Linked DNA regions of Ovis aries. The protein of the gene in region 2 binds, or shares a complex with, the protein of the main gene of each other region. Links are inferred from orthologs where the notes say so. Each region holds a gene or a part of one and is shown on either strand. Other genes may lie near its edges.

Region 1 (6,226 bases), on a different chromosome or scaffold from region 2:
GATGGAGACTGATCATCATTCCCCCAGGAGAAATGTACAAGGACAAGGCCCATAAGTGAATAGCTTGGAAGCCAATTTCTCTGAACAGAGCAGGTAGAAGGGAGCCCACAGGAGGCAGCTCTGCTTAGGGACTAGCTGGACAGGTGGGCTGGAAGATGCACTGTGAACTGACAAGAACAAATGTGGGGGATGATCAGGATTATAGAGACAAAGGAAACAAGCATTAAAGAATACCTACTGTGTGCCTGGAACTCAGATAAGTGTTTTCTCACTGAATCTTCATGATCAAATTCTGTGACATTAGGTCTAATTTACAGAAGAGGAAATAGGCTCTGCCAGATCAAGTGTCTTCCCAGTAGCTGGTAGATGGCAGAGCTGGCATTCAAACCTGGGCCTTCAGACTTTGTATCTGAAGCCTCAAGACTTAACCCTAAATTACTTCTACCCCTGTGCCTCAGTGTCCTGCTTGCAGAGATGAAGGGAAGGAATAGGGAAAGAAGATGAAGGATAAGAATGTAAGAGTGACGACAGTTTTGTGTGGATATGAAATATCTAGACGTTAGTTTATATTGTAATCAAGTTCAGAAAATGACTCACTTCTTAAAACTAGCTGCTAAAAGGCCCTACACATGCCAGCACTCCATCTGCCCATGGCCATGATCCCAGTCCTTCCCACAGGATGGGCTCCCAGCGAAGTGAGCAGGGTGAGTGGGGAGGAGGGCGATAAAAGTAAGACTCCCATGGACAAAAAGCCTGGCTCTTTGAGATGGAAAATTTGGGAAATCCAGCTCTCGGCCTCATTGGCCGGCCTCCTGCCACTGCACGGTAGGAGAAGGTAGCTGGCAAGATGGTGAGGGGCACAGGGAAGTCAGGAGCCAGCAGCGGAGGAGGTGCAGAGCTGGGGAGACTCTCCTCTAGTTCTCCTCCCACTCTGTGGCTCTGCCCCTCCTGCTCCCAAGCTGAACCAGGCCCTCGAAGAGACAGCTCTGCACTGGGGTCAGTGATGCCAAACAGCAAAGGGCAGGGTCAGACCTTGGGATCAGGGCCAGCTTCTCCTGTGAGGGACTGAGTTGGGAAGAAATGGCCCTGGGCTGAGTTCTAGTCCTGTGCCAGGGCTCGACTGGGCAGAGGAGGCCTCCTAGCCTGCTCCCAAGCCTAGAAGGGCTCACCAGTGGATGGTGGAACATTCTGGGAAACAGCTGTCGAGAGAGATCAGGTCTAATGCGAATGCAGAAAACTGCCTTCCAGGTAGTCCCCCAGCTGAGTCCAGGAGACCCAGAGCCACTGTGTTCTCCATCAGCTACAGCACTGGGGCTAGGAGCTGCGAGCTCAGGCCAACCACAGGCCTACACAACCAGCGTAAAATGAATGGGTAGGAAGAAGGCCAAGAGGCAGAAATCAAGAACCAGAGTGGACTGAAGGGAAAACCCTAAGCCAAGTTTCCACAGAGCTATCAAAGGAGGGAATAGGGGCTGGAACTTGGAGCCAGAGGAGACAGCCAGGCTGCCTTATCTAAGCATAGGGCCACCCTCTCTTCCTGAGGGACTGGGGGACCCACCAGGACCAGGTCTAACCCCACATTTCCCTCAGAACCCCTTGGCAGAGAATAACCCCTTCTGTCTGGATCTCAGGAAACTTAAACTCAATTTCTGTCTCCCCACCCCACCTCCCGCCAGGTGCTGGCCATATTTTGGTCCTCAAACCAAACCTATTATCAATAGCTCTCCTCCGGTCACCTGAATTTCCCCACCTAACCTCAGGGTCTGCCCAATCGTGGTGGATTAATTATTCTCTTGATTTCCTAATATACAGTCATATATAGACACGCATATACACACACACACAGCCGACTAGGCAAGGACACTGTCTCAGAGGCAGGGAATGTGTTCATTTCCAGGTGGCATGACTTTGCTTCAGTGGTGGTTGTACTAGCAGGGATCCAGCCTCAGGCTCCTCTCCCCGCCTTGGCAGCCATCCAGAAAGTCAGCCCAGGGAGGAAGAGTTAAGTGCCCAGGGGCTGGGCCAGACTGCCGCTGCAGAGCCAGGCAGCCTCCAGCCCAAGGCACAGAGGGCTCCTCCACACGAGCCCGCCAGCCGCCGCCTTTGTTGATGGGCTCTGCCACAAGCTCCAGTGACACGCGATGCTCCGCCCTGGCGGGCTGGTGCCAGGCTGCCCGCTGAGCACCCGGTCGCTGGTCTGGAGAGACTGTGAGGTACACAGTCTCCAGAGTCCTGGCCCTGGTTTCCAGACAGAGACAATGAGGAGCGGCCTCCCCAGCTGGAAAGTGTCGGGTTACAACCGGTTCCACCACTTTTCCCAACTCAGACCCGTCCAGGCCTCGGTTACCCATTTCCCACTGCACCACAGCCAGGTACCTCCGACTGTCCAGTTTTCCTCAGCACCATGAAAATCTTCCCCTTAGGTCTGCAAGGGACCATCTCCCACTGATGAACTCAATAAGATACAGTGTGTCAATCAAGGCTGCAAGAAGCTATGCCATTCTCCAGAAGAGATCGGAGCATTTCCCAGGGGCCTGAGCTGAAAGCAGGCAGATAAACAACTTGGATCTCATAGGTGAGAGCAAAAGCACTCATCCAGCCAGGCCCATTCTCGATTTCCAGTTCAAGAGAATCACGGTAACGTGGGTCCTGGCAGAGACAGAGTTGCTGAGGCAGGCCCCAGCCCCACAGACCCAGCAGATGCACACCACCTCCCCCCACCAAGCCCCAGTGCCTACTTGCTGCATATGAAGCCGATGGAACTGGTCTGCAATGCACTGGAGTTTTCGGGCAATCTGTATCTCTGCTCGATGTTGCCACTGCCCTTCAGGGGGTTGGTCACCAAGGGGCAAGCCTGCAGGGAAACTGGCAGGAAGGGGGAGCCGGTAGCCAGCATTGCCTGCAAAGACAGAGGGCCCACATCTCAGCAAGCTCCACCACTGCCCCATCTTCCCCATGCCTGCCACCCCTGGTCAAGACCCGGGGTCAAGGGTAGACTCTAGTATGGGAAGGAGAGGAACTGAGCCTGTCTTTCTCAGGGCACTCTGCCAAATGTGGACAGCCTGACTTGCCTGCTGACCAAGAGTATGAAAGCTGATGCCAGGCTTTCCTCCCTTCACTGGCAGCGCCATGGCAAAGGTAATAAGTGTGGCTGAACTTGCCAACCTTCTGTCCTTATTTACACAGCTACGCTTGACCACAATTTATTATTCATTATTCATACAGTAGTAGCAGGCTGAAGCTCTTCTCTAGAAAAACATTGGAGGCAGCTCTCCAGAGATCCTCAGTTGAGCAAAGCAAGGGACAGAGAATGAAAATCAGAAAGTAACCTCACTTTTTGGTGTAGCAGAGAAAGGCTGGTTTCAGGCCCTGAAGCTCTGGGCAGTGGCACAGAAACATAGGGAGAGAAGACTCCTCTGAACCACAGAGTAGCCAAGTTCCTCTCTGCAGCCAGCCCCAGGCCAGACATCTAGACCTGCTCTCCTCACTGACCAAGTGCTGGTCACCGAGCTGCCGCTAGGGGCGCCCGCTTGCTCCCGTCTTTCCCTCCTTCCTGCCCGCCTGCCTTATCCATCTTCTCAGATTCCTGCCAGAACTTTGCCTGAATTGTCCTACAGTGCAGCTCCTTCTGGGAATAACTGCAGCGTCTCCTCAATCCGCTCCATTGGACCCAGCAAGATAGCCTCTGAACCACCCTTCCCTCCATAAGCTTTGTGCTAAATGAAGAACACTGGCTATCTAACCTTGCCCTTTTGCCAGAGGAGGGCAAATTGCTAATAAAACCAACCACTGAAGCCCACAAATGAAAGGGTCTTATCTGACTGAGCCTTGGAAACAGCCCCTTTGTTGGCAATGAGCCTAGGCAGGCCCAACCTCTTTCTCCAGTTCCCCTTCCAAACACAGAAAGTCCCAAGTGACAACTGGGGCGGGGAACCTTCTGCCTCCAGGAAACTTCTCTCCCAGAACAAGCTGGGTTTTCCCCTTCAGTGTCAACAGCGAGTCACAGATCCCCCAGCCTTCTCCAGGGCAACACTAGCCACTTTACGGAAGGTACATCACTATTACGACACAAAAGCCTGGGCCAGTCAACAGGCCATAATATGTAAAAGCCAAGACCCAGGTACCCTTCTTCCAACCCAAGGAGATACCATGGACCCAAGGATCCCTCCAGAAAGGGACAAATGAGCAGAAAAGAATGGCAAGGCAATCTGTCCTGCTTGTGGCCTGAGGAGCACAGACAAGAAGCAGTATATGAGCAGAGAGTCAGCAGGTGAAGAGTTGAGGGATCAATAGCCCCTGCTGCTCAATTTGGGGAAGGAAATAGCAAAGAGCAGGTTTGGGGAGGGAAAGTCCCCTCTTTTCCCCCATCTCTAAGGGAGGAGTCCTAAGGCTAAGAGCACTCACCATAAAAGAGTCGCTGGGGCTCCTCAGTCACCCCACAAGGCAGCATGACACCCTGGCTCGGGGAAGCTGGGCTGAGAGTCTGGGTAGCCTTGTCTTCCTGGCTGGTGGGTCGAAGCCCAGGGCCACAGCAGTGCGTGAGAGGGAAGAGCTGCAGACGGCTGAGGGGGCAGTCCAGCTGGCTCTGGGCAAACAGGTCAGCAGAGAGCAACCTCCTGGGCTGGGCCCCTGGCTCCCCATCCTCTGGCTGGAATACGTCATCCTCCAGCTCCTCCACACACTGGGGTGGCTCCATCTCCCCTGTGAGGGTGCAATGCAGGCATCCGGGAGGCTGCCCCCACCCAGGCTCTACCTGGAAGGACTTCCCTCCCTTTCCTTCTTTCCTGCTCCCCCTTCTTTTGTGGAGAAGTGGGCTCAGGCACTGATGACAGTCAATCCTACAGATAAAGCATTGCCAAGGGTGACAACCCACCCCCAAATGTGGGCTGCCTTGCAGTTCCAGGATTCTCCATGTTTCTTCCCTGCGCCCACTTGGAGCCACCTTCCCCTCAGCATCCTCTTCTGACCCAGGCTGGTCACAGTCACATAGTTGGACTGCTACTGACTCATAGCCATAGCAGGGGTATGGTCAGCTGCTACAAGTACGGAGGGTACCTGGAGAAATGTCAACAAGACTAGCCTCTGTGAGTGGCTGTGGGAGGGCAGAGGGTGCTGTGACTGGCTGTACCCACAGTGCTCACCACACACAGACCCCCTTGCTGGCCTGAGGAGTAACCATCAAGTTCTCATCTCAGTCTGAGCAGAGCTCCAGGCTGGGCAGCAAAAACAAAAGCCAGCGATCCTAGCCCGGCCAGGTTCCCTCCAAACCTGCTAAGCCCCGCCCAAGACTCTAGTCTCCACCCGCTGCTTGCTCAACACAACAAACAGGCTCAACGATGTGGTAAGAGTGTGTCCTGGGAGAGAGAGGGGGAGAAAAACCCAAGTTAGTCATTGCAGCTGCCCTCTCAGCAGACTGGAGCTATCTGTCTACCACAGCTTAGCCGAGAGGAGAGGTACGGCATGCAGCAAAGTGCCCAGAGTTCCCCAGCTCAGTGTGGAGTCACTAATCTCCACAACTTCAAATCCTTCCCCACAGCCTACCATTCCTGCCAGCACCGAACCTGAGATGGGTACAACCTGCCTCATAGAAGGAAGTGAAATTCAGCCCTCTCTCTGTGACCTCACTTGCTGCCTGAACTCAGGTTGTTGATATGAGTTTCTTGGTGATAAAGAAGTTCCACTTGCTCCACTTGATGGCTCTTGGAAGTACGAGCTTGCAGTCACCCAGCTTCTTGTGCTCAAAGTTAGTCCCCTATACACACACCAGGAACCCCTCAGGGTCCCTGGGGCAGTCAGAAAAGCAACCACCTGAGTGGTTAAGGATACGGAGAGATGGTGTTTGTCACTGCCAGAATCAATTAGAGGTCCCCTGGGAATTCTGTCTTCCACTCTCTTGCCCTTGAAGAACAAGCCAAATGGTCTGTGGGTTGGTAAAGTACTTAGAGGAATCTCAGTTAATTCAAGAATCTTGGCTTTCTCAAATGCAAGCTTTCTTTAAGGCGCCTGCTTCAACTCTCCCTCCATCCCATCCTGTCCTTGAGCTATCTATGGTCCCTATCCTGCCTGTCCTCTTCCCTGTCCACTTGGATGGCAAAAAAAAGGCACGTGGTGTTCTTGGGACAGTGTTTTCCTAAAAGGTGTGAGAGGACTAGTTTATCAGTGCCAGGAAACAAGGCATCCTGCAGAAAGGACCAAGCGCTGTCCTACCAGTTACCTGGCAGGGGCT
Region 2 (6,226 bases):
TTTCCATGACACTATTCTTTCTGAGTAGCAGACCTTTGGGTACAAAGCAATTTGGTCAATATGACAATGTTTAAAAAAAAAAAAAGTAAAAACTTAAGTCTTTGTTTTCTCCTCCCTGAGTTAACAATAATTCTGGTGCATTGCAAAGGGTAAATTTACCACATTTTATGTATATTTAAGGACTTTGGCTCTTTTTTCTCTCATATATTCTGATTTTCTCTACATTTTCATTGGTTTATTTCTAAGTAACTTTCAGCTACTTAAGATTTTTTTTGTACTACTGGTAAAACTGAAAAGCAGGATACAACTGTCTAATAACAGGAATTAATTGGAGTGTTCTAAATGCTCCCTCCAAAGATTACAGAGTTATTTTTACTTTTTTCTACTTCTCAATTTTGTGGGTATTCAGCATATTACATTATACTTATAATCACAAGTATTAACTGGAAAAATTAGCAAAACTTATTAGTAATCATGTGGCATTCATAAAATAGGCTGTGCACTAGATGTAATTTTTTTTGCATTATTTGTATCTCATCCTCACCTGCCTTTCACTCAAAAAAAATCATAAAATGCAAGTGAATGAGAACCAAATTATAAAAATCATAGAGATAAGCTAGACTTGCTTTAACTTATTAAAAAACCAGGCAATGTATAAACTATGGTACTTTCTGTGGTAACATTACTTGATACGCCTGACAACCAATTGTGACCAAGTTTGCAGTCGATCCCAATGGTTAAAAATTACTACTCCACAGTGACCTTGAAAAAGGAAAATCTGACCACTACAATGCTTAGTATTTTTCAGCAGCTCCCCAGTAATTAGAGAAAATCCCAAATCCTGAGCATGACTGACAAAACCTTTCATAACTGTGGTTCATCAGTGACCCTGTTACATGTACCTTGTAGTGGTCACATCAAACTCTGTGCACCACCCTGGAGGTACTGTGCCATTCCCATGCCATCATGACCACGCATGGGCTGCTCCCTCAGCCTGGGATGGACTACATCCTTCTGCTTCCCAAAGCTGTCTGGCCAATCCCTTCAATGCTTCTGGAAAGCCTTCCATGAAACCTTTCTGATCAAACATCATCTGTGAACTTCTTTAGCACAGTAAGCAGAGCACTGTAAAAGCACATGTGACACTGAACTGTATATTTCTGGCCATCTCACAACTAGCCTGAGAGCTCTCTGAGATCAGGAATTCCATCTGAGTCCCATCTTTTATCCCTGGCACTTTCACTTATTAAGCACAATGCAGGTGCTCAATACATGAATTTTAAAAAAGCAAAAAGTACCAAGAAAAATGAATTACCTGGTTTAAGAAATTTTATTGTTAAACAAAGGGAAAAGCTAACATATCATTTTAAATACAGTTATAATACTAAATATTATCCACACAGATATTAAACTAGTCAACTGAGGCTTCATATCGATGCCAAAATTATCTACAGAAATTTCTGACATATCCTATTTACTAATGCAATCATTTCAAGTCAAGCATCCACCTCTAAGAAAAAGGAGTGAGCACTTTTTACCAATAGTATCTCCCTCATCTCCTCTATGTTTTTCTTATTTTGAAATGGAAAACTTTGCTCTTCTTTTCAAACAGAATTTTCTTCAAATGAACTGAAAGTGAAACTAGAGGAGAGTTAGAAGGCAGATCAATGCTATTCAGGGGATGGCGAGTCTGCTAGCAAGAAAGGCATTTCAAATGGATTTCAAGTAGACACTATAAAGCTAAACTACTATTTATTGAGAAAAAGATAGACCCCTTTCTTCATAATATGGACCAAAAACAGAACACAGTACAGTTATTCTAGGGAACAAGGACTTTGGAATTGGCTGTTTCTTTTGAAGCACCTACTCATGCCTGCTGTGGAGAAGTTCACACTAAAATTCTGGGCTTTGGTTTCCTACTGGGAAATGGTGACACTACTAGCTATTCTACAGTGTTGTTAGGAGGATTAAAGGGGATAATCTAGGTGAAGTGCAGTGTGAGGCACAGAGGAAACACACAGATCATCATGAGAGCCTGGGATGGACTACATCCTTCTGCTTCCCAAAGCTGCCCGGCCAATTCCACCGTAAGCATTATTCATCATGTTCATTAGTAAGAAGTACCATGAAATAGATAGATAGATAGATAGACAGATAGATAGATAGGCCAAACCAATCTATTCTGGAAAAGAAACAACATAAGTGGTCAATTTTTGAGTCTGAGGTATTTGGCAACATCATTTCAATACTGCTCTATCAACAAGTTTCTAACTGATATTTTTTCTCACTAGGGATTATGAAAAATTATTTTCTCAAAAGCTTTAATAGGAAGCCATACTTACCTTTGCTGTGTCTGAAACAGAATTCCAGTAGCCACCACTGAGTGAGAATTTTCCACTGCCTATTCGAGCCAGTATTTCCTCTGGTGTATCATCAGGACCATTTGCAAATGGAGTGTAACTAATTTATAACAGAATAACATGCTAATGAATAAAGTTTCTTTTTTGGTTGGTAATTTTCATATTTATTTGCAATATCCAAAAGTACTCTAAGTAGTTCATTTAATGTTACACCTCATCAAAATCTACTTAAGTAAAAATTAACAACAATATGAAGCTTCATAAAGTACCAGGTCAAGGTATAGGTTATGAAATATTAATTTAAATTTAATATACAATAATATAATTAAGACATGACATACTATAGAATAATAAATTTAAAATAGTATATGTTTATGACACAGAGTACAAAAATGATATAAAAAAATCAACTCATAACCTGAAGAACTTAATAATAGTACATTACAGAAAATAATAATACAGGTATAACAGTGATACACACATATACACACAGAATTGTATTATTAAACAACAAGAGAAACTATGGGAAGAAAGTATTATAAGAGATTAAAAAATAAATCTAGATAATGTAACCAAAATTATCGATGAATAAATGCTTACAACATACGGTACACACTCACCCAGTAAGCATTGTGTAGAGGAGGACACCAAGACTCCATATGTCACAAGCAGCATCATAGCCTTGTCGTTTTAAAACCTAGAAAAAGTAAAAATTAGTATCAACACACTGTTTTTTATTATACAGATTTGGATAGGCGTGAACTAAATTATGTCTCCTAAATCAATGCATACAAGAAAAATAGCATGATTAACAAACAAGGCAATATAGTAATACTACTTCTAGAAACTTCTACTAATACTTTATATAAATTTAAATTCTGATATTCATCTTAATTTATCAAACGCTGCTGTGGCACACAGAGGACTATAAAAATAAACTGAAGGTAAATTTCTCATTTAAATGTATTTATATTTTGTAAGGGGCTGCAGAAATAATTAACAAAACAAAGAAAATATAACAGTATAAATGGTATAGGGCAAAATTGTACTTTTATATATATACTCAAGATTTAATCATCACTATTATCAGGCATAAACTGTGACAAATACAAAACAACTGTTTTCTCTAAGAAAATCAGAATCTTGCAAAGGAAATAAACATATATGTAGTTAATTCAACATGATAAGTTTTCTAACAAAAATATGTTTTAAGGATATGGGTATAAAGATGAAGAAGCAATTCACTCTTGATAGGGGAGAGAGGGAAGAAGGCTCGGAGGCAACCTGCTTGTATTGGGCCGATAAGGAAGAATTCAGGAGGCGAAATCAAGACGTGGGAGAGAGCAGGGGCAAGAGAGCAGAGCCTGCTTAGCGACATGTAAGTTCAGTGTGGCCAGATTTCCACACAGGGGATTCTATAGAGAGACTGAAGCGGTTTTTAAAGGTTTTTTAAATTATTTGTTTGGCCACACCACGTGGCTTCTGGGATCTTAGTTCCCCAACCAGAGATCGAACCTGGGCCCCAACAGTGAAAACACCAAGTCCTAACTACTGGCCCACCAGGAAATACCTTGGAAAGCTTTTTATAAACATCTTGTTAAGGAATCTAGGTGTTTTTTTTCCCCCTGCAGGCAATCAGATGTCATTGAAGCATTAAAGAGGAAAATAAAATAAGTGGATGTGTATACCAGAAAGATAACTCAAGGTATAGAGAAAATGCTGGCAAGAAGAGAGAATGGACACAAGGCCACCTCATTGGAGGCAATTTGTAGCAAACTAAGTGAAAGGCTGTGAGGATCTGTACTAAAACAGGACATGAAGAGGAAAAGACATAAAGATAAAATGGGAAGGACTCAGTAAAGACTGGATATACAGCGTAAGGGAAAAAAGGTCTAAAATATTTAGGAATCAGAAAGGAAAGGATCTGGTGATCCACTGAATGTGGAGAAATAATACAGGAGGAGGATTTTGGGAAGAGTTAAGAGGTCAGTCTAAGGACAGTTTGATCATAGAAGATTTCCTGAAGGTGAATTTAGAGGCAGGATCTGAAGCAAAAAAAAAAAACATTCCAATGTGCCAAGACATAAAAGCTACATGGTGATTCCAAGAAGCAGACTGCTTATATGAAGTAGGAAACAATCCTGAGGAAAAATGAGATGGCTGGATTAGGGGGTCATGCTTGGACACCAGTTTGTGTCAGAGGCTGTGGATATGTCAACAAATAAAGGAAAAAACCTGTCCCTCATCAGTTCTAGTATCACTGGGAGAACTGAATCAAATAAACTTAAAAAAATTTTTTTTCTATCTAAAAAGTAAAGTTTGGAGAACGGACAAGGGAATCTGAATCTATAATCCAACTAGTCTAACGTTATCAACTATTATCATTTTTGTGAAATATCTAGCACATGGTAAAGCACAAACTTTGTAGCTGGGTTTCTTGGGCTCAAATCTAGATCTGATCTCAGGCAAATGGCATCACCCCTCACTGTGCACCCTGTTTCCTGTAAAATGCAAATAAAATTACTCAGCTCACATAGTTATAATGAGAACAAATTATTATACCCAAATTAAAGCTGAGAGGATGAAATCTGTTAACATATGTGCCTGACATGCAAGCCTTATATTAGGATTAACTATTATTTTTTATTATCTTGCTTCTAGTTTTAATTTTTTACATAGTGATAATCCAAAGCCAAGAAATTTTGAGGGCAAAACATTGGATTTTAGAGATGCTATAATGGGGAACTGCAATTTCTTAGGAAAAGCAGCAACCTGATCAAAGCAGTGCTTGAGGAAGACTTCAGCAACTTTGCAACATCTTTGTGGACTGATCAGACAATGACAAAAGGGAACGCCATGCACCTAGGCTGTGGCAGTCACCTGGGGCTGTGGTGAAGGAAGCAGGGGCTAGGAAGGCAGGTCTGTGAACAGAAGAAGCCCAAACTGGTTGTAGGGGATAACAGAGATGCTAACTGGTTACAAAGCTAAAGACAAGAAAAGACCATGATGTTTTAGCTTTAGAAATACAGGAAGATGGTGACAAAAATCAGGAAATTCGAAGAGTATCAGGAAAGAATTTTCCAGGCAAGGATACTGGAGTGGGATGCTGTCTCCTTCTCCAAGGGATCTTCCCGACTCAGGGATCAAACTCAGGTCTCCTGCATTGCAGGCAGACTCTTTATCATCTGAGCTACCAGGGAAGATGGGCAAAACAAAGCAAATGAGTCTTTAAATATACTGAAATATTGCAAGCAAACTCTTTCACAATTACCTCTGGTGCAACAAAATTTGCCGTATAACAAGGAGTCATGAGAAGACCATTTTCTGCTCTTAGCTGTTTAGCAAAGCCAAAATCACAAATGCGAATAGATTCTGGATTGCCAGATTCATCCACATAAAGAATGTTGCTAGGTTTCAAGTCTCTGTGAACCACCTAATTGAAATACAAATTAAAGAGCTGCATTAACAATACGTCTCCATTATGGAAAATTATTTATCACAAACTTAACAAGATGATTGGTAGTGACCTTCACATTATTCCAACAGTATAAAATACTAATAGTGTAAGTATAACTCTCTCACACAGAACTGTGGCAAGGAAAGGAGGAAGAAAGAACAGTATTTATCTCCCCCCTCACTTTGTCCAATTGAGTGGATTAATGAAAAATGCAAATAGCAGTAATATCTGTCTCCAAGTTATTCATTGTTCAACAAATATTAATTGAATATCTATCATGTACCAGGGTATTATACAAGGAGCTGCAGATACTCTGATGAACAAGACCTGTAAGATCCTTGCCTTTACATGCCAGGAGCTTACCCAGTAGTAAGGGAGGCAGAGAATAAATACGTGAGTGATGGGGCAC

What was found. The genes of interacting proteins can lie anywhere in the genome.
Region 1: the proteins of RPS6KA3 (region 2) and BMF are in contact, whole or in part, in a crystal structure (PDB 8R58), measured with the Homo sapiens proteins. The link is inferred for Ovis aries from reciprocal best matches to the Homo sapiens genes RPS6KA3 and BMF. Residues at the interface, in NP_004577.1 of Homo sapiens: Trp252, Phe259, Phe268, Leu281, Ala283, Lys284, Leu285, Gly286, Met287, Pro288, Leu299, Arg300, Phe303, Lys304, Arg305, Asn306, Asn309; in NP_001003940.1 of Homo sapiens: Glu8, Leu10, Glu11, Asp12, Asp13, Val14, Phe15, Gln16, Pro17.

Annotation. Positions count from the first base shown.
Region 1 is NC_056060.1:33,964,482-33,970,707, forward strand, and holds part of BMF (bcl-2-modifying factor), read right to left. Parts: 5' UTR 4,914-6,226; coding exon 4,874-4,913; intron 4,702-4,873; coding exon 4,405-4,701; intron 2,900-4,404; coding exon 2,739-2,899; intron 2,540-2,738; coding exon of another isoform or gene 2,477-2,539; exon of another isoform or gene 2,381-2,476; intron 1-2,380. UniProt on the Homo sapiens protein: May play a role in apoptosis. Isoform 1 seems to be the main initiator.
Region 2 is NC_056080.1:18,623,633-18,629,858, forward strand, and holds part of RPS6KA3 (ribosomal protein S6 kinase alpha-3), read right to left. Parts: intron 5,794-6,226; coding exon 5,632-5,793; intron 3,058-5,631; coding exon 2,981-3,057; intron 2,461-2,980; coding exon 2,343-2,460; intron 1-2,342. UniProt on the Homo sapiens protein: Serine/threonine-protein kinase that acts downstream of ERK (MAPK1/ERK2 and MAPK3/ERK1) signaling and mediates mitogenic and stress-induced activation of the transcription factors CREB1, ETV1/ER81 and NR4A1/NUR77, regulates translation through RPS6 and EIF4B phosphorylation, and mediates cellular proliferation, survival, and differentiation by modulating mTOR signaling and repressing pro-apoptotic function of BAD and DAPK1.